Linked DNA regions of Coturnix japonica. The protein of the gene in region 2 interacts with the protein of the main gene of each other region in a pairwise test. Links are inferred from orthologs where the notes say so. Each region holds a gene or a part of one and is shown on either strand. Other genes may lie near its edges.

Region 1 (7,783 bases), on a different chromosome or scaffold from region 2:
ATTGATTCAGTACACAGAGACATGAAACTGTTAATTATGGTCCTTGAAATGTATTGACCATAATATATTGGGCTCACCTATGTATGTCACTATTTTATTGCAGTGCAACATTTTTCTGTCTATACCTATTTTGTTTCTTGTTTATGAAAGATAGAGATTTAGATACATGGATATAAACTTACACAGCACCTAGTATAGACAGATTGTGAGCAACAGACATGTGGAAAGAACTACATTTATATAATTAAATGACTGCAATAACGTATCAAGAATAATTGCCTAATGCATAGCTGTTTCTCTAGTCTTACCTGAAGGAACAAAACTTACCTAAAGGAACAAAAGACTTTGAAGGCATGCTTGGTTTGGAAGTGCCTATTGCGTTAACAGCAAATACACGGACCTCATAAGCAACACCTTCAATCATCTTCTTTGGCTCAAAGGTTGTTTCTTTACACAGTTCAAAATTCAGTCTCATCCACCGTGAGCTTTGTTTCTTTTTCCTTTCAATGAAATATCCTATAGACCAAACAAAATGGTATTATAGTAATAGCATAATGTTCAATAATGAGGTGTCCATGCTTTGACTGACCAATAGTTTTCAATATGGCTCACTATCCCTTTCTAGCTTCAGAGTTCTTTGGGAGTTTCTGTTTAATTTTTCTCCTTGTGGATTAACTGTTAGTCATCTGTTTGTCCTCTCTGGATATTTTTTCCCCCCAAACTTCATTTAATATTTTAATTTAATATTTTTAATTTAACTGTATTTAGTTTAGAGTGAAAAAGACCTGATTCTGCTGGCCTCTGGTCACCTATGACCTTCTACTATATTACATTTGCTTCTGAAATTGCTGCTAACAATCAAACTCTTCAAGTTTTGCCTTTATAAAAAGTTGTTTTCGAGTAGGGAGAATGATAACAGATAAAACTTATGATAACATCAAAGAATGGAAGCAATATTCTTTCAGTAGTCTACTCAAAGTGTCACTCTCCAGTACCAGAGCTGAACTCTGATACTGTGATGCCCATTACGTAGAGTGTGTTTCTTTTGTCTATATTAGATCATCATCAAATGAAAGGAAAATTATTTACCTAAGATGGGTGATCCACCATCATTTGCTGGAGGTTCCCATGTCATAACACACCAGTCTTCACCCACCTCAGTCACGTTTGGTGCCTGAGGAGGATCAGGCACATCTGTTGTAAAACAAACAAACAAACAAACAAAAGTGAAAAAAAAAAAGATCTTTCCTATCTATGCCTAATCTATAATAAAATATATCAAACAAGAAACAAATCTGAAGTCCAATAGGTAACTTAGAATAGAAAATGTAGAGTCAGCCACAAAAATAATCTTGTGTTGAAAAGAAATTGTGAGAATGAATGGAGAACAAGTACATTGGTAAGAATGGATCAGCAGAGGGAGACAAAAACTCATCACTAAAATGTGATTTGAGAAACAACATTCAGAATAGTAAAAGACATAGCTGCTGTGAATATACTTGGCCTTTCTGGACTGAATTCTTCACAGGAAAGATATTCTAACAGCCATTTAGTGTCTTGAGATTTGAGAGCACCTGCTTTGCTAGTCCTTCTGTGATCTTCTATGAGTAATTCAAGTATAGCTTCACAAAGACCCATGGGCACTTAAATGTTTTCTATCATTTTACATGACATTTTACTGATAGATATATTAGTGCAATACTTGATTAAATCTATAACTTTGAGGTAATTGGGAGTAACGCATTAGGGAAATTACAAGTGTTAGAAAGGGCTACAGAAAGGCTGAAAAGGGAGCTACATGACATCGCCAGTAGAAAAATGACATGGGAAAAAGTCATAAACTCGCCTTTAAAGTTCCAAATCATTGTTTTCTGGAATAAATACTGTAATAATGCAGGGGAGTCCTCTGTGTACCTAAAATATATTTGCAGCCCTCATTTGTACCTCACTCTCTTTGGAGAGCGAACTTTGACCATTGATGCTTCCATGGCCTTGCACATTTGGCTCAGAGCATCTCAAGCTCTTCTTTGCACAGAGAAAGGATGTTTTTGTGAATCCTGACAAGTGGGATAGGAAATGCCAAGTTCTTCAACACTGTCAAATTTCTTGAGGGGCACTGAAGGGAATGTGCCAAGAAAGGGCCACAGGCACCAGGAAAATATAGAATGCTTGAAGCAAATAGAGGCAACTTCAGAAGCTTAGGTGCAGCAAGGTGAGGTGGCAGCAGGGGTGATAATTAACTCCTACTTAAATTCCATACTAAGTTACCATATTCTTCATTAACTTTGTGCCTTAGTATCCTTGCATGTCAATTTCACACCTGGAAATGAGGAAAAACAGAGGGATAGCAGCATTTGGAGGAGAGATACAGAAGAAGAATTTGGCTGTTGCTGGAATGCAGGAAAGCAGTGTTCTCAGGGATCATTTATTGAAAAAAACCATGGTAAATGGTATCGCTCATGTGCATTTTTCCACATGACTTACCGACCACTTTAATGTTGATAAGGGCTGTGTCCTCCCCAGCTTCATTCTTTAATGTTATTCTGAAAGGACCTGAATCTTCTCTCTCAGCTGTGTCAATGACCAGGCAGCTGCTGTCTGAGTATGTTTCTGCCCGTATTCTTCCACTGTCTGTGATCATCTAGGAATCAAAGTACGACAAAAGTAAGACAAAGTAAGCAGAGGGAAAAGTCAAGTTTTCTGCTTTAAGAACCAAATGTTCAAAAATCCAAGTTCAAGTGCATTACAGAACACTTCAACAAAAATTTTCTGAAGAGAAATTCACATTAAAGCTCAGTATTTCGGTCATCCGATTGTCATTAAAAAAAAAAAAAGAAAAAAGAAAAAAAAAGAAAAAAAAGACAAACTAAGCAAGTGATAAATAAATAAATGGCTTTAAAATACTGTACCTTTAGTACTCAGGTCAGCCATTACATCTCAAAGGAGGGTTCAGTAGGCTCAATTACCACATAATCAAGAACATGCTTTAATCAGCACTACTTGATGGAAAGAGAGTAGTGAAATCTTAAGAAAGGTTAAATGTAAAATATTTTAAAAAGATTCTTAAATAAAGAATCTTAAATAAAACTGTAGTGTAATTCATTGAGTTGAATGATGAGATGGATAGTAAGGGTCAGTAATTTGTCCTTGTTGTAAAAACACTTACACATTTTTGAATAAGATCTCCTAGGGGAGCTTCTCATTTGAACCAGTCTGTGGTGTTAATAATACCACTGATATTTGGAAAATACTAGTAAGATTTGATGTGATAGGCCTGACAAGTCCAGCAGAAATAACATGTAGCACATACCAAAATGAAAATTTAAATGTGGAAAGTCTGGCTTTTTGGTATAATATACTCGGGAGTGCAAAGTTTAGCACAAAAGACACTATACGCAAAACAGTAACTGCCCAGGCTAATATTTCATCCTAGTCTCGATTCTTCATCAGAACTATTTATTTTATAACCAGACCTTACTATGGCTCCCTGTCAAAACTGCTGTTCTGGACATTACACATACCGTAAGTAGCTGACTGGTAGATTTTCATTAGATTTCTTCTGCATCAAATATATTCACCTACTTTAAAATTTATTTGTAGAAAAAGCATATTTTTCATCTTAGCAGTGTCAAGTGTTTCCTCAAAAAGATCCTTAAAATACTAAACACTATTTATCAGTTTTACCTTCACAGTTGAGGGAGAAGAGTTTTTAAGTGCGACAGGATAACGTATCCCATTTTTATTTCCTTCCATATCTTCACCAGACTAAAGATTGTTTTGTTAAGGGAAAAAAATCTCCTCATTGACCTTTAAAAACAAATATGATGTTACTGTACCTTATCCCCTCTACTCCACATGACTTTTGGTGTTGGCTCGCCAGTGATAGGTATCTCAAGGCGTAATTTAGTTCCTGCCACTACTGTCACAGTGTTATTTTCCCCAAGACCATCAAGGTGAAGTTTAGGAGGATCTGAAAAAGAAAAAATTGCCCAAATTTTTATAGGTCTTCCTCTTCCAAAATTTAGGAACCTGGGAACAAGTGTGAGATACAGAGAAACACGCTCTGCTGCTCATATTTTCCTGGTATTTTTACTCAATATCTGTTTGGAAGTAAAGTAGAGAAGAAAAAATTCTGGAAGAAAATAATCGATGAAGAATGAATCATAGAACCATAGAGATTTGGGAATAGTAGGTCCATAAAAGAAAAACAATCCACCTTCCTGAGGCAGGATTGTTTAAATTTAGATAATGTGAGAGAGATTTCCAATAATTGGCTCTTGAAAATTTCCATTGTAGATGTTCTACATTTGGAATTGTCATGCTCCAAGCATCATTATTCTCTTATTGCCCTAATATTTTAAACTTTTTCTTAGTCTAAATACTTTTCCTGGAAATGAAATGATTACTTCTGTTGTACTCCATGGATATTGAGAACTGATGAATGTGCTCTTACTTTAATATATTTTATCTGTGAAAGTACCCACTCTCTTTTCATTCTCCCTAATTCTTGACAATCTCATTTCTAATGTAAGTATCCCACTCATCATTTACAAGCCATATTTTCTAAAACTTTGATCATTTATATTGGTGTCATTTAGACTTCACATTCACTGCCTGAAGTTAAAAGTCAGTGGGGTACTGTTGTGGAAATCTTATTTAACTCTCTGGGAATCATTAAGCGTAAGTATTGTATAGGCAAATATGTACCTACTGAAATATTTTACTAAGCTAAAAGATATCTTGAAATATAAAAAAATTCCATTCTTCGAAGAATACAACACTGAAGGTCTGAAAAATTATACCAAGAACTACTTTACATGAACTGTTAACAGTAGTTAAAGTTTAGGAATTCAGCCACGCCAGGCTTGTAAACTATGACCAGGTCCTGAGGTAAAGTACTCTCTTACTAGCTCAGTGTCACTTTGCCAAAGTAGCAGCTCTGTGCTTTGAAGTAAGCACCTGCTCAGAAGAAACAAACTGATTGTATTCAAGGATATATCACACAGTTTTCACTTTCCAAGGGTAAAAGAGAAGGAAATGCAATTTGTAATTTGTTGTGCCAAGTACTTACCCACAACATGTACTTTGCATGGAATATTAATATTATAAGCATCTGGTACAAACATGTATTCAGCCTCATCATCAACAGCAGCACTTGCTATGATAAATCTATGGATTCTGTAAAAAAATGAAAAAGAAAGCCATGTAAATTATTTTTGAAGACTAGTTGAGGCTATGAGGAAAAATCTGAAGAAAAAAGTTTAGGAGATCTGTGCAAGTGTGTAAGTCTGTGTGTGCAAAAACAACAGCAACAACAACAACAACAAAAAAACTATCAGAAAATAGTATTGTTTTTAAGTCTAAATATTCTTAATAATGCCCCCAAATTGTTTTGCCCTTACTACCTAATATCCCATACTAACAGCAACAGCAATGTCCAGAAAAAAGAATCTCTTAAAATTAGATGTTTCAAGTATTTTATTATTATTGCCTTCCGCAGCCAGAGGACAGTATGAAAAAGGAAAAGAAGACAAAGGTTTTATTGTCAAAAAACTAACTGTGTTTGAAGGACAAAGTTTAGGCTTTACATATTGATAATACATAGTTTCCAGAGAAATAACCCTCATATTGGTACATCTTTACAATGTCACTTCATCAAAAATCAAATCAGTACTTGACATGCTTACCTTCCTTTGTGATAAAGCTTTACACGGTCACTAGCTTCAATCAATTGTCCATTTTTGTACCATTTCCCTTCCACATTCTCTGATATCTCACATTTCAGGTGTATTTCCTGTCCAAGCCTCACTGTCTGGTCTTCTAGTGCAAGTGATATCTTCAATGGTCTCACTTGGGAAAAGAGAAGTAGATATATTAATGTTAATATCAAGTAACAGCTTATAAGAAATGCTGATCCAAAATATCCATGCCCTGAGCAGGAAAACCTGATCTGTATTCACTTGGAGTATATTTGAACTCTGTCTTGGTGTCACTGGTGTTCCAGTGCAAGATGAATCCAGTAAAAAAACTTTCAAAATGTGGAAGGCTTGTGTCCCTAGGTCTACTCTTAGAGTGCACAGGTCTACCTACCCTTTTCTGCCATCTAACTGCTTACAGAGGTCTCCCACATGAAACAAGACAATTTGGAGACTTAACAAAGTAGTTAATTACAACTATTCACTGTAGTTATGAGCCTCTTGTGTCAGGCTTTTATCAAAGGACATGGTGGACAGTGTAAAGTTATTTCATACATGGCTTCTCCTTGTGTTTGCTAAGCTGCCCTAACTGCCCCTGTAAAAACACAAAGATATTACTAGCTTTTGTTGAACTTGAGGCTGAGAACTTGTGCTTTCTGGAAGATCAGATGCTAGAGACCAGAGTCTAGGCTGAACACACAGCATGTGCACTAAATATACCTGCCTATAATCTGACATGTGAAACAAGGAATGATGGAAAATAACTGCATTTTACAGAAAGATAGCTGGAACATTCTCATCAGAAGAAGCATGAATTTATAAGTGTGGCAGGCAAGATTAGGGAATCCAATGGCTACAGTGTATCATTTTCAGCTTGGTAAGAGAACTGTGAATTGTTTGTGCTTAGGACGTAATTTTGTATAAAATAGTTAAAAGCATAATGTGTGTATGTATGATATATGGTAAGTTCACAGACTGTAACAAATTTACCACAAACACGTACTCAGAATCCATCTTGCTCACCTATGCCAGTAAGACCAAATCTACACCTACTCGCAAAATGGCCATCTGCCTAAAACCAAAGTGGCAGATTATAAAGATGCATAGATTTTGCTGGAAACCACAAGTGTTTTAAAGATATATTCAAGCAGTACTGATACTGTTTGATACTGAGATACATAGCCTCATTTTAGTGCCTTTAGTTTAGTTCAAATGGCTCTGATGCCAGTTAAAAGTACACGTAGTAGTAGACTTTCTTATTTTTTTTCCCACAATTTTCTTTTTTCCCCTCTTTTTATCTAAAAAGTCTTGGTTTTGTCTTTCCTGCGAAAGCCTGAAAGGATTCAATAAAAGCAAGTGCTTCCCCTGCATGTTTCAATTTGTTGACCTGTTATATCTTTTCATGGATAGCTATGTTTTCCATCTTAATGAACAGACAGTAATTTTCAAGCAGGACTAATTCACTTTCTGTAACTGCAAACTGAAGATTTGCTGCTAAGACATTGCCATGGAAGATAAAGTTGTCTTTAGGCCCTCAGAAAAAGGCAAGCAAATTATTACTGTTATTTAGCAAACTATGACCATTAATATCAAGAGCAAGATATATTATACTTACAATCAACAGAAAGCTTGGCTTCTGACTGGCCTCCTGTTGTCATTACGGAGTAAGTTGCGTTGTCATTTTTTGCGGCCTCCTCTATTATCAAAGTGTGTTTTTTACCTTCAACTTTGATTCGATATCGAGATTTAGGATCATTGGTAAGCTCTACACCATTCTTAAACCTAACAGAAAAGAAAGAGTGATTATTTTCCCAATAGAAGTCCAGTGTGAATAAGACTTTCATAAACCGAAACTTCTGGAGAAGACTTTGCAAGACTTAAGATACAAAAAAGTGTTAAACAAACTCACCCGTGAATGTGTAAGACTGTTTTTGCTGTTACTACTTCACTGAATAATGTTCTCCTGAGGATTTTTAACTGGTACTGAAAATGCTCTCCTCATTTATTCCTACACATAAAATCATCTTTGCTCTGTTCCCCCTCCCCAGCCCCATCTCTGTCTCAAGGTAAACAAAGTCTATTGAAAG
Region 2 (8,580 bases):
GCTTCAAAGCTAACAACTTTGAGATGTGGGGTTCCATAAGCAAGGGCTACTTTTCATCCTGTGCCTTCCAGTTCAGGTGTATGTTATTATTGCCATAGACATAGCAGCAAACATTTACAAACTGATTTAAGAAATGACAATAATCAGATCCCATGTTCCTCTGAGTGCACCGAAGCAGTTACCTTGGAGTCAGCACCGATGGGTTTCTTGCACTCGATGCAGGTGTTGGCACAGATCTTCTCGAAGCACTTGACGCAGCAGTGGCGGCCCTCCTTCTGCACGTACTTCTTGCCTTGCAGCGAGTCGCGGCAGTAGTGGCAGTCAAAGCGCTCCGACATGGTGCCCACGCTGTAACTGCTGGGCCCTGCGGGAGGGATGGGGGTAAACTTACAACACTGAGGTAACTGTTCTGGCTTGACAAGTGATGAAAAAATGGCTCAGCTATGAGCGTGTGGTGGTGTCGTGTGCCTGAAGGGCTTGTTGCTGGAGAAAGCAGCTTCTGGGACAGCAGAAGTTACCTCAGCAGTTCTATCAGCTCAGTGCTTGATAAAACAAGCCAGCTCTCCGCCACCTGCACCAGCACTAGAGCTTTCCATGTGCCTCCAGGATAGGTTAACACACCATTGGGCTCAGGATCTGGGCTGACTCCTGGGGCCACCCAGCTTTCTGGAAGCACCGTGCTTGCAGTTAGCACAAGCAGTGTTTTAGTAACGCAAATATTTTCCTTGGCCTTAATAGCCATCCAAGATATGAATGCTAGATTTCTGCCTACAAAGAGGCAGGATGGGCTCTGGCCAAACACAGAAACGCAGCTCTCAGCCTCCTGGAGAATGACCTGCTGTGTTTGCTTGCCCCATGGCTCAGGGAAGAGCAGGGCCACACGACAGCCTTTCCCTGTCACCTTATTCAGAGGAAGAACACCAGACTGTTTTGGTTCATGTCAAGCAGGGATAATGGTACCTAATCACTCACAATGACTTGGGTCATCATGGTGGACCCGCTGCAGCCCTGGCGAGATCCTGGCTGAGGCACCGCCTAATTTGTGTCCAGAAATCACCGCCAACCAAGAGCGGAGCAGAATAGTTTCCATGCTTCCAGCCCAAGCCTGCAGCCAGCTGCAGCCCTCCAAGGCCTTTTGTGCCAAATACTTGTGCAGCTTCCAGCTGTCTCTGTCACTGGGCTTTCATATACAAAGTCACGAGGAACAAAAAAAAAACCAAGAAAATATCTCCCTACACTTAATGAAATGCAGCAGATCCCTGCCTTTCCACATGCCCTTCCTCAGAGGAAGCCTACAGAGCTCACAGGCCAGGCTCAGCACCCAGATGGAGCCAGGGCACCAAGAAGTTCAGATATTCTTTTCCTGACAGAGCTGAAGCACCAGCATGGACTGAAGGAAGGAAGCGGTCAGGCCGTGTGGGGTAGCTGTCATCCCAGGAATAGCTGCACAGTGCCCATCACTTGCCTGCTGGGTGCTGCGTAGGCAGCCCTACCACTTTATGGCACGAGCACCTGCTTACACAACAGCTACTTGGGCACCTGCCCACCCCAGTAATTCAAGAATTACCATCAACCGCATAACCCAGGCTGCCAGCCATGGAATCACTGCTAAGCCCCTGCTCATCAAACACGAGCATGCATCAGATTGAGCAAGCCCTGACCCAGGCACAACCACACCAACACCAGCCTGAGCTGCAGATCAAGCTGGAGCGTTTCTGCTCCAGAAACCAGGACAGATGATCCCAGGGAGAACAGTGTGGCACACGGAGGCTGCAGCACAGGCAGGGGCCAGGTTCACTCCCTTTCCCTTCCTTAGAACTAAGTGAAGTGGGACAGAGGCCGAGCTGGCCAAGGTTGCGCTCTGTGGGGGCTGGGGCTGGAACTGCTGTTTGGCCAAGGTCAGGAGACGGCCACGTCCTGCTGACAGCCACGCCAAGGGCTGTGTTTGTACTGCTTCAAGGAAGTGAAACAAACAAACAGCTGGGAAACATGGAAACTATGCGAGCCACCTCCAGCCCTGCTGAGCTTCATCAAGCGAGCGGGTTTTATTTAGAAGAAATGCAGTTGCACAGAGTCCAGAGCAAATGGTATCTTAACGTTCTTCATCTCAGGTTTGGGTTTGCTTTCAAGCAGAACATGTAATTGCGAGCATATGGCTCAAGGAGTAACACAACCCTGTGTTCCTGTGTAACACAACACGTGCTGACATGGGAAACATTTATGACAGCAGCTCTGAGCCTCACACACAATTAACACAGGGTCTGGCAGCCCGCAGGAGCTTTTGCCCACCTTGAGCCATCTCACGGCCCAAAAGCTGGACTCAGAAACCAGGCAGTGGTGATGGAAATGGAGGAAAAGCATGGACAGACTTGAACGGTTCTCCAGCCCGGGATGATGTCCCCATGCAGAGGATGCTATGCTGAAGAGGAGCAGATTAGGAGACAAATTGCAAGCATCTGGTGAAGGGCTAAATGCACTACATGCCTATCCCTACACAGCCTGCAGGGCCCTCAATAAAGGGCTCAAGGAAAATCCTGCAGTACTTTAATTCTCTTCCCGTTCTTACCCCAGAGCTCAGACTTCCCAGACAGAAGCATCACCAGTTTCCCAAAAGTTACTCCAGAAACTTTCTCCGCTTCCCTCTCCCACCAGCCCTGGCAGCGCACTGTCTAAATGCAGCTCCCTGATGAATTTGGCTACAGCTAAAGGGCAGATAGCCAAACCAGTGGCCTTCTCAAGTATCAGGGCATTTGGCACAAAGACCCATTGGAATTCAACACTAACATTCACCTGAGCATAGAGGTACAAGTTAACCCAAAGGAGCATCTGCTACTTTTCAAAAGCAGCCCCTCAGCCCTCAGACAGCACTTGGTCTTTCAAAAGTCTCCAATAATTGGGCCCTAGGTCTGCCTACAGCCAGTCGTAAGGGCTATGTCTGTAAGGCATCAGGCTTTGGGATGGAAATGGTGCAGATCTAACAAGTGAAGCAATTGCATTAACACCGACCCTACTCGTCCCTTCAGTTCCCATGGACCCTATGCTGGTTCATCCTGATTCAGTCAAGCTGTATATCACCATCAAGCCCCTACACCATGACATGGCACGGAACAAATTAAATCATAGCACTTTGCAAACAATGCTGAAGCATAGCTGATAAGCAAAGCACTTAGCACAGGGCGTGTGTTAATGTCTCCAGGGAACGTGTTTCAATGTGATAAACCACCAAGGAAGAACTTGAAGTGTGGTCTCTAAAACCAACCAGGGAAACTGTACTTAAACCTTACGGACTTACTGCCTTTACCCTTTCTCCAGGGTAGGAAGGAAGAGGCCAAAGCTGTTGACCCTCTGCTGGGGTGTGGATACACTGTGAAAGAGCAGTTGCCTTTTGGCTCTCCATCAGCTTTGTTTTCCTCATCAGACAGCTCCTGTACCACTGGGCAGTGACAACAACTGCCTGTCTGGGCTCAGGACCTGGCACTTCCTGGTGTGTCACCTGAGTGTCTACTCAGCGTTCTTGCAGGCAGTTTTGTGTATTTTGCTATAAGAACCAGGGAATACCCTCAAAAGAAGGGAACTATTAATCAGAAAGGAAGAGAGGTGCTCAGGTCTGCATCTCAAGGTCACCGGCACAGTGACTGGACAACATCTATTCCTTTCTGTTGGCTTTACATATCCCATGCAGGTCATTTTTGCTGGGAGGGTTGGCAGTAAAGAGCAAAGATCCGTGCTCTCTCGCTGCCAGGCTGGGGCACGTGTGAGTCTCATAGTCTATAATTCAAACATTAGTCTGTTGATAGAAGAGAATCTTCTTTATTTAGAACAAGAACAGCTCCAAGTTCCTCAGGCTGCTGCCAAAATCATCCCCTACGGTCCTATTGCCACCATGTCTGAGCACATCTCTATCATTATTAAATCCTGTCAGTTTCCCAGGGGAGAAGGGACGTGCTATTTAAAAACACACGCACTTCTACACTTAATACGGAGCTCAGCTAAGGCTAACAAAGCTCCTGGCGTACACAGCACCACTGCTCAGAGCAGGGCTGAGCACTTAGGCAGCCTTAGTGTAAGCCTTTCAAAATGACCTAAGTCAGCTAAAGCAAAGTTCTGTTTGGCACCTAACTGTGGCTGTCTTCTCCCCAACTACACCCCATGCCTGGTGTCCCCAGGGACAAGACACGAGGTTTTCTCTCACTGCATGGCTCAAGCCCCTCTGCAGGCATGGCAGAACCCCATGGGAGATGCCCTGGGGATTGGGGCTCCATGCTGGTCCAGAAACAGACACTGACTTAAAACTCAGTGGTGTCAGCACATGCTCAGCACTAGCACTTTGTATCACAGCTTGTGCTGGAAGAGCAGACCCTGCCTGTGGTTCGGGAGATGCTGCCACATCCATCTGCCTGGCAGCAAGGCCAGATAGAGGTTCCTTGTTCAGCCCTGAGGGGTGGGATGTTTCTACACCCTCTGACAGGAGCACAAGACTTCAGGTATCGCTGCTGTCATTGCTTCATCTGCGCAGTGCATCCCAGTTTGCATGCTGGCTATTTCAGCTTGTATTGATTGTCAAGGAGCTAGAGCATGCAGTGCTTTGGTGAGCAACCCTGGTTACTTGTCCAATGAGTTCAGTAAAACAGGAACTGGGACTCAGCTCTGTCTCATCTCAGTGTAGTGCCTGAACCACCAACAAGAGGCACATGCATAATAAAAATAACATCAGTGCTGTGTGTGTGTGTGTTAATTGTGATCAGCGCTTGAAGCACTTGGACTAGAACCACTCCAATGCCAAACAAAGCCTGGGCCCTGCACCAGAGAACATCTACACCAAGGAAGATGACAAAGACATCTGGAAGTACGGACCCAGCCCTCCCACAGCAGCAAACACAAAGCACATCCAAAGCACACTGCAGGTAGACGAAGCCACTGCCACCTGTGCCCCTCGCTGCCCTGCTCCCAGCACTGGTCCCACACACTGCTACCATTAGTCCCATTCACCACCACTAGTCAAAGCTGCAGGTTGCAGAGACGTAAAACCACATTCAAATGAATTATTTCTCTAGAGTCAGACGCCCTTAGCAAAATTTTCTTCCCCATTTACCACACAGAGCATACATGCAGACAGCAGCGTGTCCACGTTACCTGTGTGCCTGTGGAAAGCCATGATTACCAGCCCAAAGTCACAAGCAACAGAGTGCACAGTCTCTTGGCTGATCAGAAGCTCCCCCGTTTGATAACATACATTTAAACGAAGGCTATTAATACGGACAGGACTCCTACCAGATGTCCACTCCCCTCCCCAGAGATCACAACCTTAATCCCCCTTGAAAATTCTTACCATTTTAGGTGATCTGAGGGAGAAGAATAGGATCGAGAGACCTCTGTAGGCAACATGTAAATACCTGCCCTGCTACTCAGCACCCAAATTAGTCCCAAAGGCAGAGAGTGCCTCAGGAACTTGACCCCATGCTAGTACTATTTGGCCTTGGCTTTAGAGCTAGATTGTGTCTCATATCAGTCCTGAGCTAAATAACAGACCTGGCATTAATTCTGACCCCTGTTGCCCAAGGGAAGAGGAGAATCACAGCCCCCAGGGCCAGCAGGGCTGCGGTGGAAGGAATCAGCCCCAGACCACACATAGGGGCTGTCCCCTGGCTGTAGGGCCCAGAGCAGCCATAGGCTGTATCTTTGGGGACACAGCTGAGAGCCTGGGAAGCACCAAAAGGTACATTCATGGGAGCTGGACTTGTCTTCAAGGCAAGCTGAAGTCTTGGTAAAACCACCATGCCTGGGCCTCCTCCAGCTTTTACTCTAAAGCAGCTCAAGGCATTAATCATCCAAAGCAAACAAGTCCCTGAAGTGCAGCACTTAAAAAGCCAGGTTTCATGTTCATGGGGCTTCTCTAGTATCTAACAGCACAGCTGGGCTCCCTCCCCCGTGGGATTACAGAGCCCTGGCTGGTGCCTCTGCCCTCTTTGCCCACATGCCCACGAAGCTCTGTACACAATTTGAACCCACACAACTACTTCCACCTGAGCCATGGCACGGAGCAGAGGGCAGAGGGAGCTCTGCTTCGGGGCTCTCCTGCATGGAGGTATGTGGGCTGAGGCAGCTCCACAGCCCTGTTCTCCAGGTCACGCAGCCAGCAGCACTGTGTGCACTCGGGGCTGCGGCCAGGGCCGCCCAGCTGCTAATCCTGCTTCGACACTGACTCAGTGCACGGCCGTGGGAAAGGCAGTTAACCTCCTGACAGCCAGTGTTTATCATTCACAGGCCAACACAGCGCTGTCTGGCCTTTGAGCAGCCACACAACAGCACATCTCTGCTCCTCACCAAGGATGGCACGAGCTCATCACCATAGTGCATGATGCACAGAGCCTTCAGCCCAGCACTGGGCTGTATGGGTGTCATCAGTACACGTGCAAGGTCAGCATCATCCCAGCATCCTCATGTTTTCAACGTTGCCTGGAAAAATCACACTTGCCAGCATGCCATCCCTGAACAGACCACCATGGACCCACTCATGTAGCAGTTTGAGGCTGGGAAATGTGCTAAAGGACAAGCACACCAAAATCCCTTGGACTAGGAAAAGCCTTACTTTACTCTGCCCCAGCTCACCTATAAGCTCTTGCAAACTGTTTGAATAATTCAGATGGTAACAGGAACCGCAACAACTGCTGTTTTCCTGTGCTAATCTTGCAGTGCACAGTGTAATATTTACAGACATGAGTTCATTTTTGGCAATACATGTCAAGTTAGCACCATTAACCATTCTCAAAGAGCTGACGCATTCCCACATGGCTCTCATTTCTTACTTCCCCCTAGGATACCCTCTGTTTTCAATCACAGAGAACAGCCTTTGCTCCCCATCCTGAACTGCAGCACAGCACTGCCAGGTCCCACCCAGAGGTGGCTGCAGTCCAGCTGCGGTGCAGCAGCATCTCAGGTACTTGGCCATCAAAATGCTTCATGTGCACAAATGAATTTGCAGCAACAACAGGCATGGGCTGGAAGAGGTGGCAGGGAGGAAGCTCAACCAAACAACAGGAGCAGGACGCAGGAATATGATACTGCTGCCCATAAAGTTTCACCATGAGTCTCCATGCAGCAGCATTTTACTGCACAGCTCAGCCTGGCAATTCCCCAAAAGCATTCCATAATAACAAGGACATTTTGCTTGAATTTGTGGCCTCCTGGGCCAGTGCAGCAGGGACAGGCTGGGAACAAGCCTTACTGAGAGGACAGGGCTGCTCTTGTATGTTTTTTGTCTCATTTTAGCCGTATGACCTTGGGTAATTCCCATCTCCCCCCACGGGTCTAATTCATCCCTGCAAGCCCAGCTCCTTCTGAATGCAATTAAACACACCAGTGGCGCAAGGTACAGCACAAGCACCAAGGAGGGACACTGTCTCCCTGTGGATCACGACATGGAACTGAAGCTACCAGGAAAGACAGCACGTCCAAGAGAAAGGAGGGGAGTCCCTACCGACAGCACATCCCACTCCCAAGCACAACGCACAGCCGTATGCAGTATCACCATGAGGCCCCTGCTCCCACCCCATCCATGCCACCACTCTGTGCCAGAGCTGGGCAGAGAGGAAGGAGTGCTGTGAGCACACAGCAGGGCACGCAGGTTTGGGTTTTCATGTCTTTAGCATGAAGTGTGTCCTGTGGGTTTTCAGCACAGCAGGATCTGGACACAGTGATCCCACCGCACAGGTCTGACTGCAGAGCAGCATGGCTGGCACATAGTGTCATCTGCTCGGATAGACAAATGATTCACATTGTGCTTTCCAGAGTATTTTCTTGCCTTAACAATCCTGCCAGAAAAGGTCTGGGCGTCTCAGCTTGCCCACACATCCTGCTGTCACTCAAGAGGCTGTGGGTCCTAAATAGAGCCAGTGGAACCCAGGCATTGATGAACTATTAGTCACCATCATCAAAGAAAGAAGCAGGGAGCAGTAAATACGAGCAGGAAGGGGGCACCTGTCCACTTCTTTGGCTAACACTTCACCTTCTGCTCCTATGGGCTCCTATGCTTTGCAATGCACAGTGAACCTGCACAGAAAAGCACAGCAGTGATTCAGCCACTCCATGTGAAAGCAAAGCAAGAGCCCAGGTTTCCTTCCAGGTGGTGGAAGGACCACGGAGTGGTGTTTGCACTGGGAGGGCTATAAGCAGACAGCCCCACAAAGAGAGGGAACAAGGATGATTTCCTTCCTACTGTGCTGACCTCAAGCCCAGAGACTGGAATCCTACCCACGTGGCTGGGTCCTTCCACCCAGGGGAAGCTTTTAGGATCAACGACGGAGATATGGCACTGTGGAAGTGGGATTAAGCTGATAAGAAGACATGCACAAGGTAGACAGCCCTCCATGAACTCAGATGTAACGTAAGTAGAAACAAAGGGGGGAAAAGAAAGGAGGATAAGAAAAGAGGGAAAAAAATAAGATGTAGTAACAGACAGGAAGGAATGGCACAGTGATAATGGACTGGAAACAGAGGGATCTGAAAAACAGCAGAACTGGGAAGATATAAGCTGGGTTTTTCCCATCTGCCTCCATCCACAGGCTGGACTGGTTCCAGAAC
Region 3 (7,783 bases), on a different chromosome or scaffold from region 2:
TAAAGGGTTGGTTTGTTTTTCTTTTAATGAGCTACACCTTTCTAGAAAGAACGGCAGGCAATGTGCCCAGCTATTGCCACAGCAGCCACTGACAGAGATGAAGGTTCCTCCCCTCATCTGTGAGGTATTAGCTGCCTCTTCTGTGGGGAGCAGAGAGGACATGCAAGCCTAAATCCAATTGCAGGATCAAGACAGATTATGCAAAAATCCAATAAAAGTATTTTCCCAGAAGGGAGATTCATGCCAAAGAGAATAATGCAGTCTTTAAGATTGCTCAGCAAATAGTGCAGTTTAGGAGAGTTCATGTCACAGCCCGAGTACTGGGCAGGTTACACTTGTCTTCATAATTCTTGGTCTTTCTCATAAAGTAATATGAAAACACCATCTGGGAGATCAGTAAAAACCAATGTGTAACCCTCAAGGCTGCCACCAGAAAGAGGGACATGGCAGTGCAGGCAGGTTTGTGTCAGTTTCTCAGTTCGTACAGCCATTTGTACAGGAAACAGCAGGCAGCATCTCCTGGAAATGAGTGTAGAATCAACGCAGCACCACTTATTGGGCAGAGACAGCTCATGCAGGGCAGGCGCTGTATCACTGCAGGACCCAGGGCCCACAGAAGGCCACTGCGAGAGGACTGTGACACTGGGATTTGTGATGGGATGCTTCATGATGGGCCCCTGGGATCTCTGTTGCTCAGGCCAGCAGTTGGCTTGTAAATTCCTTGTGAGTTTAAAAGAATTCCCTTCCTGTCCAGCTGCTTCGAGGAAAAACTACTGCGATGGTTATTCTTGCTACTCTGGTTCCTTTGTAGGAGGGATGGGGATACAGCTATAGGCTGAATTAGAGGGATAGGATCAAGCTGCTGCAAGATGCGATGCAGAGACCACTCTCAGGAAGCAGCTTCCATGACTTGCTGGCCTTCTGCTGCCCTCACATTGTCCTATCATCAGTCCCAGCACCAAAAGCTCAGCTAGGCAGACCTTCCCAGCAATGGAAGCCATTTGCTAGAGAGGAACCAGAGACACTTCAGAAAACAGTTCATCCTATTTTAAAAACTTTCCATGAGAATTTTGTAGCAGGACAGACATGGGTGTTTCACACATAATCTTTCATTCTCCCTTTGGTAAAGACTAAACGGCCAAACTCCCACCTTGTTAGCACTGTGGAAGTGGTCACACATCTCATCCATCTCCCCAAGGCCAGGTCTCAAAACCTTGTGCTGCCAGTCCCACCGGGCTTCTCCTCTCCATCCCAAGCCATGCCCTTCCTTGCAGGGCACCAGTTCCTCATGGCCTTGTGAATAACAAAGCTCCAGTCTGCAGCAAGCACACGAGGCCACCTCAGGCATCCCATTTCTGGCAGGCAGCCTGCCCATCCCCAGGCACTTGCTGCAGCCAGGCCATGCAGGTCCCTCTGTGCACACAGCTGCCTCACACGTGTGCTGATCCAAACAGGAGAGCCAGATCCACTCCATAGCCTGAGCTAATAGGCAGGATACTCAAGCTGTTCCAACAAAACAGCCTCCAGTGCTTCAGGTTGCTTCGTCTCCAGTCCCTACACTAATGGCCGTTTAGAGACCTCATATTAACGAGTAACAGGATAGCATAAATACATAGACTTTGCACAAGGACAGGCAGAGGATTACAGCTGTGCACCTCAGGCACAGTCTGGTGGGAGCTGCTGCTTTAGTCTGTTCTTCCTGATGCTGCTGAGCTGGGCAGTGATTAGGCACCTGCAGTACGAGCCCATGGGTGCAATATGAAACAAAGGAGGAAACAGCATCCTGCACTGAGCGCTTCAGCGCCTGCCTTTCCTGTGACTAGTGCAGGTATTTACTGACAATGGATTTAGCATCAGGAGCAAATCAAACTCACTGAAGATAAAGCAAAAAGAAGTAAAGCTGAAAAAAAGAACAACAACACACACACACATTAGAAGAAAATTTTAGTTGTATTTTATTTAATTAATGAAAATCTACCTTAAAAACAAAAATCAGATTTGGTAACCCAATACATTGGATTTGAGAAAGCTTCAAGCTTTTAAGCACAAGCCAGAAGTCACAGTCTCAAATGAGAGTTTCAGAGGCCAAAGCAATACACCGGAACAAAGTGGGATCGTTAGGTGGAGCCGTGCTCCTTGCACCGTTAGCGTGGCTTCAGGCGCGATATTTGTCAGCTGTCAGTTACAAGAAGCTTTTGTACTTGTTTTACAGTTATGTTTGTCGCATTGCTTACCTAGGCCCTGGATTAATGGAGAAAACGAGCAAGTTGAAGCACTTGCCTGTCCAATTACTACCAACAGACAATTTACATTGTGATAAAGCTAGCTTTATTTAAATGAGGTTCAGACAAGAATTAACTTTACATATTATTAACAGCTTTGGAGCTACAAACATAAGAACTGGGATTACACAGGTCATGCTACTGTTATTTCGTTTTACCTGCTGCATTTATTGCAATATGGCTTAACGTACATAGGTATACAGTTTGTACAAATTCAGCCAAGTTTGCACTTGTGAGGTGTTATTAAGAGCACGATTAACTTGCAAGCCAATTTAAACCTGTGGAAACCAACAGAGATTGTTGGAATTGCCCAAAGCTAGGGGGAAAAAGCTGCCGCTAACAATGGACAAAGACAGACTGGATTGTTTGAAACCACATTGTTCAGCTTTAAATATTTATATAATTTGCTCTGAGGTAAGGAAAAATCTCTTGATGCTTCCACGCAGGGCAGCACCAGATGGTGCAATCACACCAGTGCAATCAGTCACATTGCTTGCTGTATGTGCAGCCCCGAGGAGAGGCGAGCACCTGCTGTAACAAGAGCATTTGTACACTAAGAGTTGATTTTCAAATAAATTACTATACAGGTAGGATAGTGAGCTATTGTTCGCTTGGTGGCATCGGTTTCACAAAGTGCCATCTGGAACCTTCACTTTCGAAATCAGAGCTGAAAGGATTGACTTGCAGCCCATGTTTGATTCTAATGTAAACAACAAAAGGAAGGACCTACTCCTGCTGGGGATAGGCAATCCCAGTGAGGTTTCTTTCTGTCTTTAGATCACCCTGCTCACCCCAGTTTGCAGCTGTTCTCAGTTCAACCCAGCTTAGGTGAAGGTTGTTAGGAACTCAGTACTACAAGCTTTTCTTCAGCCTTTTGCAATCCAAGGCAGAATTCATTACCAAGCCCTTACCCTCTCTACCCCACCCCCCCCCACCCTCAGGGAATTGGTAAAAGCAACAAGGATCTCAAGAAATGGGGAATGCTGTGATGGGATGGTTCAGCCATGGGTTGGGAAAGGAGGATACTTGTATACAACGTGAATATTATATGATGTTAGTGAAGGTAACATCCTGGGGATAGATGGGGCTGTGATCAGGACTGAGCAGACTCTGCCAAGAGCAGGGTGTGATTCAGGGTTGTGGTACGCCTGGGGCTGCTGTATGAGCAAGACAGCAGGGAAAGGGTAAGCCTAAAGGGTTCTCAGAAACCTGAGAGGACTGCAAGTGGAAGGGACACTGGTCAGCACAGTTGGATCTGGAACAGGTCAGGGCTCTCCTTTTGTCTTTAGAAATATCAGAATTCTACATTAAAATCAGAACTGGGCTTATGATTTACATATAAATATTCAAAGCATGACTGCCAAGTTTTGGAGAGATTTTACAAGGGGATAAACCTGGAACAATAAATATGAAACTATATGTTATTGAATTCCACTCCATCAGTATGAATTTCCTCTCCAGGCTACTCTACAAAATTCCTTTTAGGGTATGCCTAAACAGTACAGAAGTATCAGAGCTCTACATTAAAATCAGAACTGGGATTAAGACATACATATAAATATTCAACACGTTACAGTCCAGTCTCGAAACCTGAAGTCTTGAACAGAAAAAAAAGAGTACTCTCAACCTCCTTTCAAGCTACACTGTAGAAACAAATTCTGACTAAATCAGGCCCGCACAATCGAAGGACAGATAGAGATACCTGAATGGGACTGAAAGGCAGCAATCTTGAGCACCTTGCTCAAAAATCTGTGCGTGATCCAGTTCCTGCTGTTTGACAAACGCACCTTCTATCAGCCATAAGTCTCATGTGTTCTCTTCAGTCAGCTCTCCCCTTCAGCACAGAAGTCGAGCAGCAGCTGTGGCCGCTCGCTGGTCAAATCAAGGCAGCTACGGAAGATGGTGGGAGTAAGGGGGACCGCAGAAAGGAGGTAGGGGTTTTAGGGATGAATGGAGAATTCAAGAGACATGGGACATACAGGACGGAAAAGTTAAGTGAGGGGACGGCAACAACTCTGACACAAATTTTAGTGGTCTGTCCATTCACTCTGATGTGCATCTCCAGTCTAAATGGGACATTTTCAGCAGAGGCAGATGACCTTTGAATGGGACACGTGTGGATATACCCAATATTAAAGGCATTGGTTTTTAATGACAAAAAAGGTGAAGTCTTCAAAAGAGCAGGTGTTAACATCCAAGAATAAAGGGTAGTGAATTAAGCTCCTGGTTCTCTCACAGGATTGTCAGTTGTTCTCTAACACTGGTATCTCTCAGAACGCCACACGGATCCTTAGCACGACTGAAAGAGAAAAGGCAGTAAAAAAAAGCTTTATTAATGACAATTTATCTCAAGAGCATCATAGTATCTTTCTCAAACAATTTTAGAAATGGATTTGAAGACAGTCACGTGGCTTAGTTGAGCAATCACACCAAATACCTGTGTGAGAGACTATAACTGTCACCTTTTCTGATTCAGATTTCACTGAAGTGCAAAGAGCTTTGGGAAAGAAGCACTTCAACTTTACTATGGAAGGCAACAAAAACCTCCTTTAGTTTTTTTTTTACAAAGAGCTGTTAGCATGGAATCACGCTCATGGATTAAATCCTATACAGACTTGTATTGTAGGTGTTTAACCTAGGAAAACTGGAAATCATAATTTTTTACCTCCTAGAAATATCACACTAAACTACAGGCCAAGACAAAGGCCTTTTATGTGAGTATCTGTATGGAAAAAAGCAAGGCGCTAAGTAGCCCAAGAGACAGTAAAGACTGTGTGGGGAATTCTATGGCCAGTTAAAGCAGAGAGCAGTTGTCTTTTCTGAAACCGAGGAGGAAAAAAGAAAAAAAAAAAGAAAAAAAAAAAGAGACAATAATTGCAGAAATCCCAAAATCTACTTTGCGAAGAGTAAGAAATCACTGGCTACGAATACTACTTACATTCAGAGCCTCAGGAGCCAACAAGTTCTGACTTTGTGGACCATCACAATCTGTGTCTTCTTGGCAACCATCGTCCTGCCATGTTTGTGTTTTCCCATCTTCCACTAGTGGGTGACCATCTTCCTCCCTTTCTCCACACGTTTGTTTACCTATATGTTGGTCTGAGATCTCCACAACCTTTCCTATCTCCTTTTCCTTCAGTTTTACTTGGCGTATGTCTAGGATATCTTTGGTTGAATCTTCTGAGGTACTTATCTCTAATGCTGAGTTCTCAACTCTCACTCTATCCCTTGAAATGTCTTCAGGAGTAGTCACAAAGTCAGAATTCTGACTTGGTCCATCTTCCAGTGCCTCAGAAGTTAATAGCACGTCTTTTGCTTTTTCTACAGCTGCATGAATATCTGCAGACTCTGTTAATATAGCATGCTTGCTTAGTCGGGACTGCTGGAGCTCCTGCTCTTTACTTGATACCTCTTCTTCCTTTACTACCTGCATACTTTCCAAAAGTTCAGGTAAAGTCGTGTCTGTCAGGCTTTTCCCTCTGGACTTAGTGTGCTGTTCTGACTCTAAGGCAGCTGTCTCTTCTGTTTCTGTAAGTTTGTTAACAGCAGTCTGGATGGCGTTCAATACAATTTTTGTACTCTGGGACTCTATAGTCCCAGTTGGAACAACATCCGTCTCAGATTCCGCGTGGGAGAGAGTGAGACCATCACTTAAAGGAGCAGTGTTTTGTTTGGGCTGATCCATACTCCAGAAACTCTCTTCCTTCTCTGATATTCCATTAACATAAGCGTGAGTTACCTGAGGCTGGGGTGCTTCCACAGTACCAGGCTCTGCAGTCTCACAGCCTGAATAGTCGGGAGTAGAAGCTGGGACCTCACCAGAAGCCATTTGTTCTGGTGTGGTTGCCAAGGGGTCTACAGTTTTGGCTGTGGGCGTAGCAGCTTCTGCTACAACATGCTCTTCAGCTGCTGCAGCTGCTACAGGCACAGGCACTTCCAGGGACTCTGAGCTTTCAGCTGGTGGAGAGGCCGAGTCACAGCCTTCCTCTTGCACAGAGAAAACCTCTTGCTGGACAGCTGTTGAACAACATTCATCATCCCTCACAGCTTCCTGTTTTCCAGACTGAAATTCTTCGACTGTTTCCATCAACTGCCCATTTATGTTTTCCTCTTTCTGAATGTCTTGACTGTTTGAGATTTCTGCAAGTTCTTGTTTTGTTTCTGCAGTCCTTTCTTCAGCTAAGCTGCTCTGTATTTCGCTTGTCTTAGGACTTACGTCAGTGCAGATGGTGCTTCCATTTTCAGTGACATCTAGGCATGCTGATGCTAAAGTAGATTCGTCTTCTTCAGTCTTGGAAGGGTGCTCAGTGAGAGCATTATCAGACAGTGAGCGTGTTTCAGTTTTGAGCATGGAATCTTCTATTTTACCACTTTCAATTTCATCACTTTGGGAGAGAGCTTCAGTTGTTTTTTCTATGAGTTCTGACTCTAGGACAGGGACAGGATCTTTTGCTGTAATCTGCCTGCCATCCTCATCCCTCACACTCTGCTCAGCAGCCTCAGCTGCTTCTGAGCCAGTTGCCTCTGATGTAAGAGCTGAGGTTTCTACCTCACTGTCCATTGGGACCTCATCAGCAATGACTTCTGAGCTCTTTACTCCAAGGAGCACAGCATCATCTTCCTCTCTCTGTGCAGGTACCTCGCTAGGAACTGCTTTGATACAAGTTTGCTCTTGCAAGTCTAACTCAGGAGTTTCATCCTGACTCTCAGTACTGACAGGGACTTCTGCGACAACCGCTTTTGTGCGCACTGGTCCCACAGGGAGTGTTTCACCCTCTCCTTCAAGTTCTGCAGGCTCTTCTCCTGTAGATCCTAATGCAGAGGTTTCATCTTCAATCTCGTTCTGCACCTGTGGAGAATGGTAACAGTCCTGTAAATAAGGATGTGAGCTGGGGGAGACTGAGAACACTCTGGATGCAAGAGCAGCAGAATATAAGACCACGAGGGGAGTAGGGTTATGGGAAGATTGTGAGTTGAGTATGTTGAGTTTAGTGGGCCACTAAGATCCCAGCATATCCAGTTTGACAGGACATGGCTCAGGAAACAACGGACAGCTGACACATCTGGAACACAGACTAAGCCAGAAAGATGGTGGAAGAAGGCAGAAACAAATCAGTCATAGTAACTCCTGCATGACATGGAGATAGTGACGTGATTTCTATTCCTTCCTTTGCAGAAGTGCCTCAGCTGCAACTGTCTATGCTTGTGACTGAAGATACAAGTTCTATGTAAGGTATCATATGGATATTGTATGTTCTCACATCCACCACACTACTCTGCAGCACAAATATCTGCAGCTGCTTCTTCTGGACCTCTGTGCATCTGTCTCATTAAAAACAAACTCCAGTTACTACACAACAAGGGTCTTTGATAGGAATATTGCCACAGCCTGGTTCTAAATCAGGTGCCATATTTATTTATTTATTTCCCCTGACAGATCAACATTTATGTTTTATGTAATACTTACTGCAGCCTGCACTTCTGGAATATGGTCGTCTCTC

What was found.
Region 1: the proteins of FHL1 (region 2) and MYBPC1 interact in a two-hybrid assay, tested with the Homo sapiens proteins (2 studies listed by BioGRID and IntAct). The link is inferred for Coturnix japonica from reciprocal best matches to the Homo sapiens genes FHL1 and MYBPC1.
Region 3: the proteins of FHL1 (region 2) and AKAP12 interact in binary tests that used the Homo sapiens proteins (3 or more experiments, as listed by UniProt). The link is inferred for Coturnix japonica from reciprocal best matches to the Homo sapiens genes FHL1 and AKAP12.

The regions. Positions count from the first base shown.
Region 1 is NC_029516.1:56,617,894-56,625,676, reverse strand, and holds part of MYBPC1 (myosin-binding protein C, slow-type), read right to left. Parts: intron 7,479-7,783; coding exon 7,312-7,478; intron 5,851-7,311; coding exon 5,688-5,850; intron 5,179-5,687; coding exon 5,072-5,178; intron 3,971-5,071; coding exon 3,837-3,970; intron 2,642-3,836; coding exon 2,485-2,641; intron 1,195-2,484; coding exon 1,090-1,194; intron 517-1,089; coding exon 328-516; intron 1-327. UniProt on the Homo sapiens protein: Thick filament-associated protein located in the crossbridge region of vertebrate striated muscle a bands. Slow skeletal protein that binds to both myosin and actin.
Region 2 is NC_029519.1:4,092,686-4,101,265, reverse strand, and holds the start of FHL1 (four and a half LIM domains protein 1), read right to left. Parts: upstream 5,232-8,580; 5' UTR 5,156-5,231; coding exon 5,134-5,155; intron 365-5,133; coding exon 183-364; intron 1-182.
Region 3 is NC_029518.1:43,983,860-43,991,642, reverse strand, and holds the end of AKAP12 (A-kinase anchor protein 12), read right to left. Parts: coding exon 7,750-7,783; intron 7,132-7,749; coding exon 5,221-7,131; intron 4,582-5,220; coding exon 4,573-4,581; 3' UTR 1,932-4,572; downstream 1-1,931. UniProt on the Homo sapiens protein: Anchoring protein that mediates the subcellular compartmentation of protein kinase A (PKA) and protein kinase C (PKC).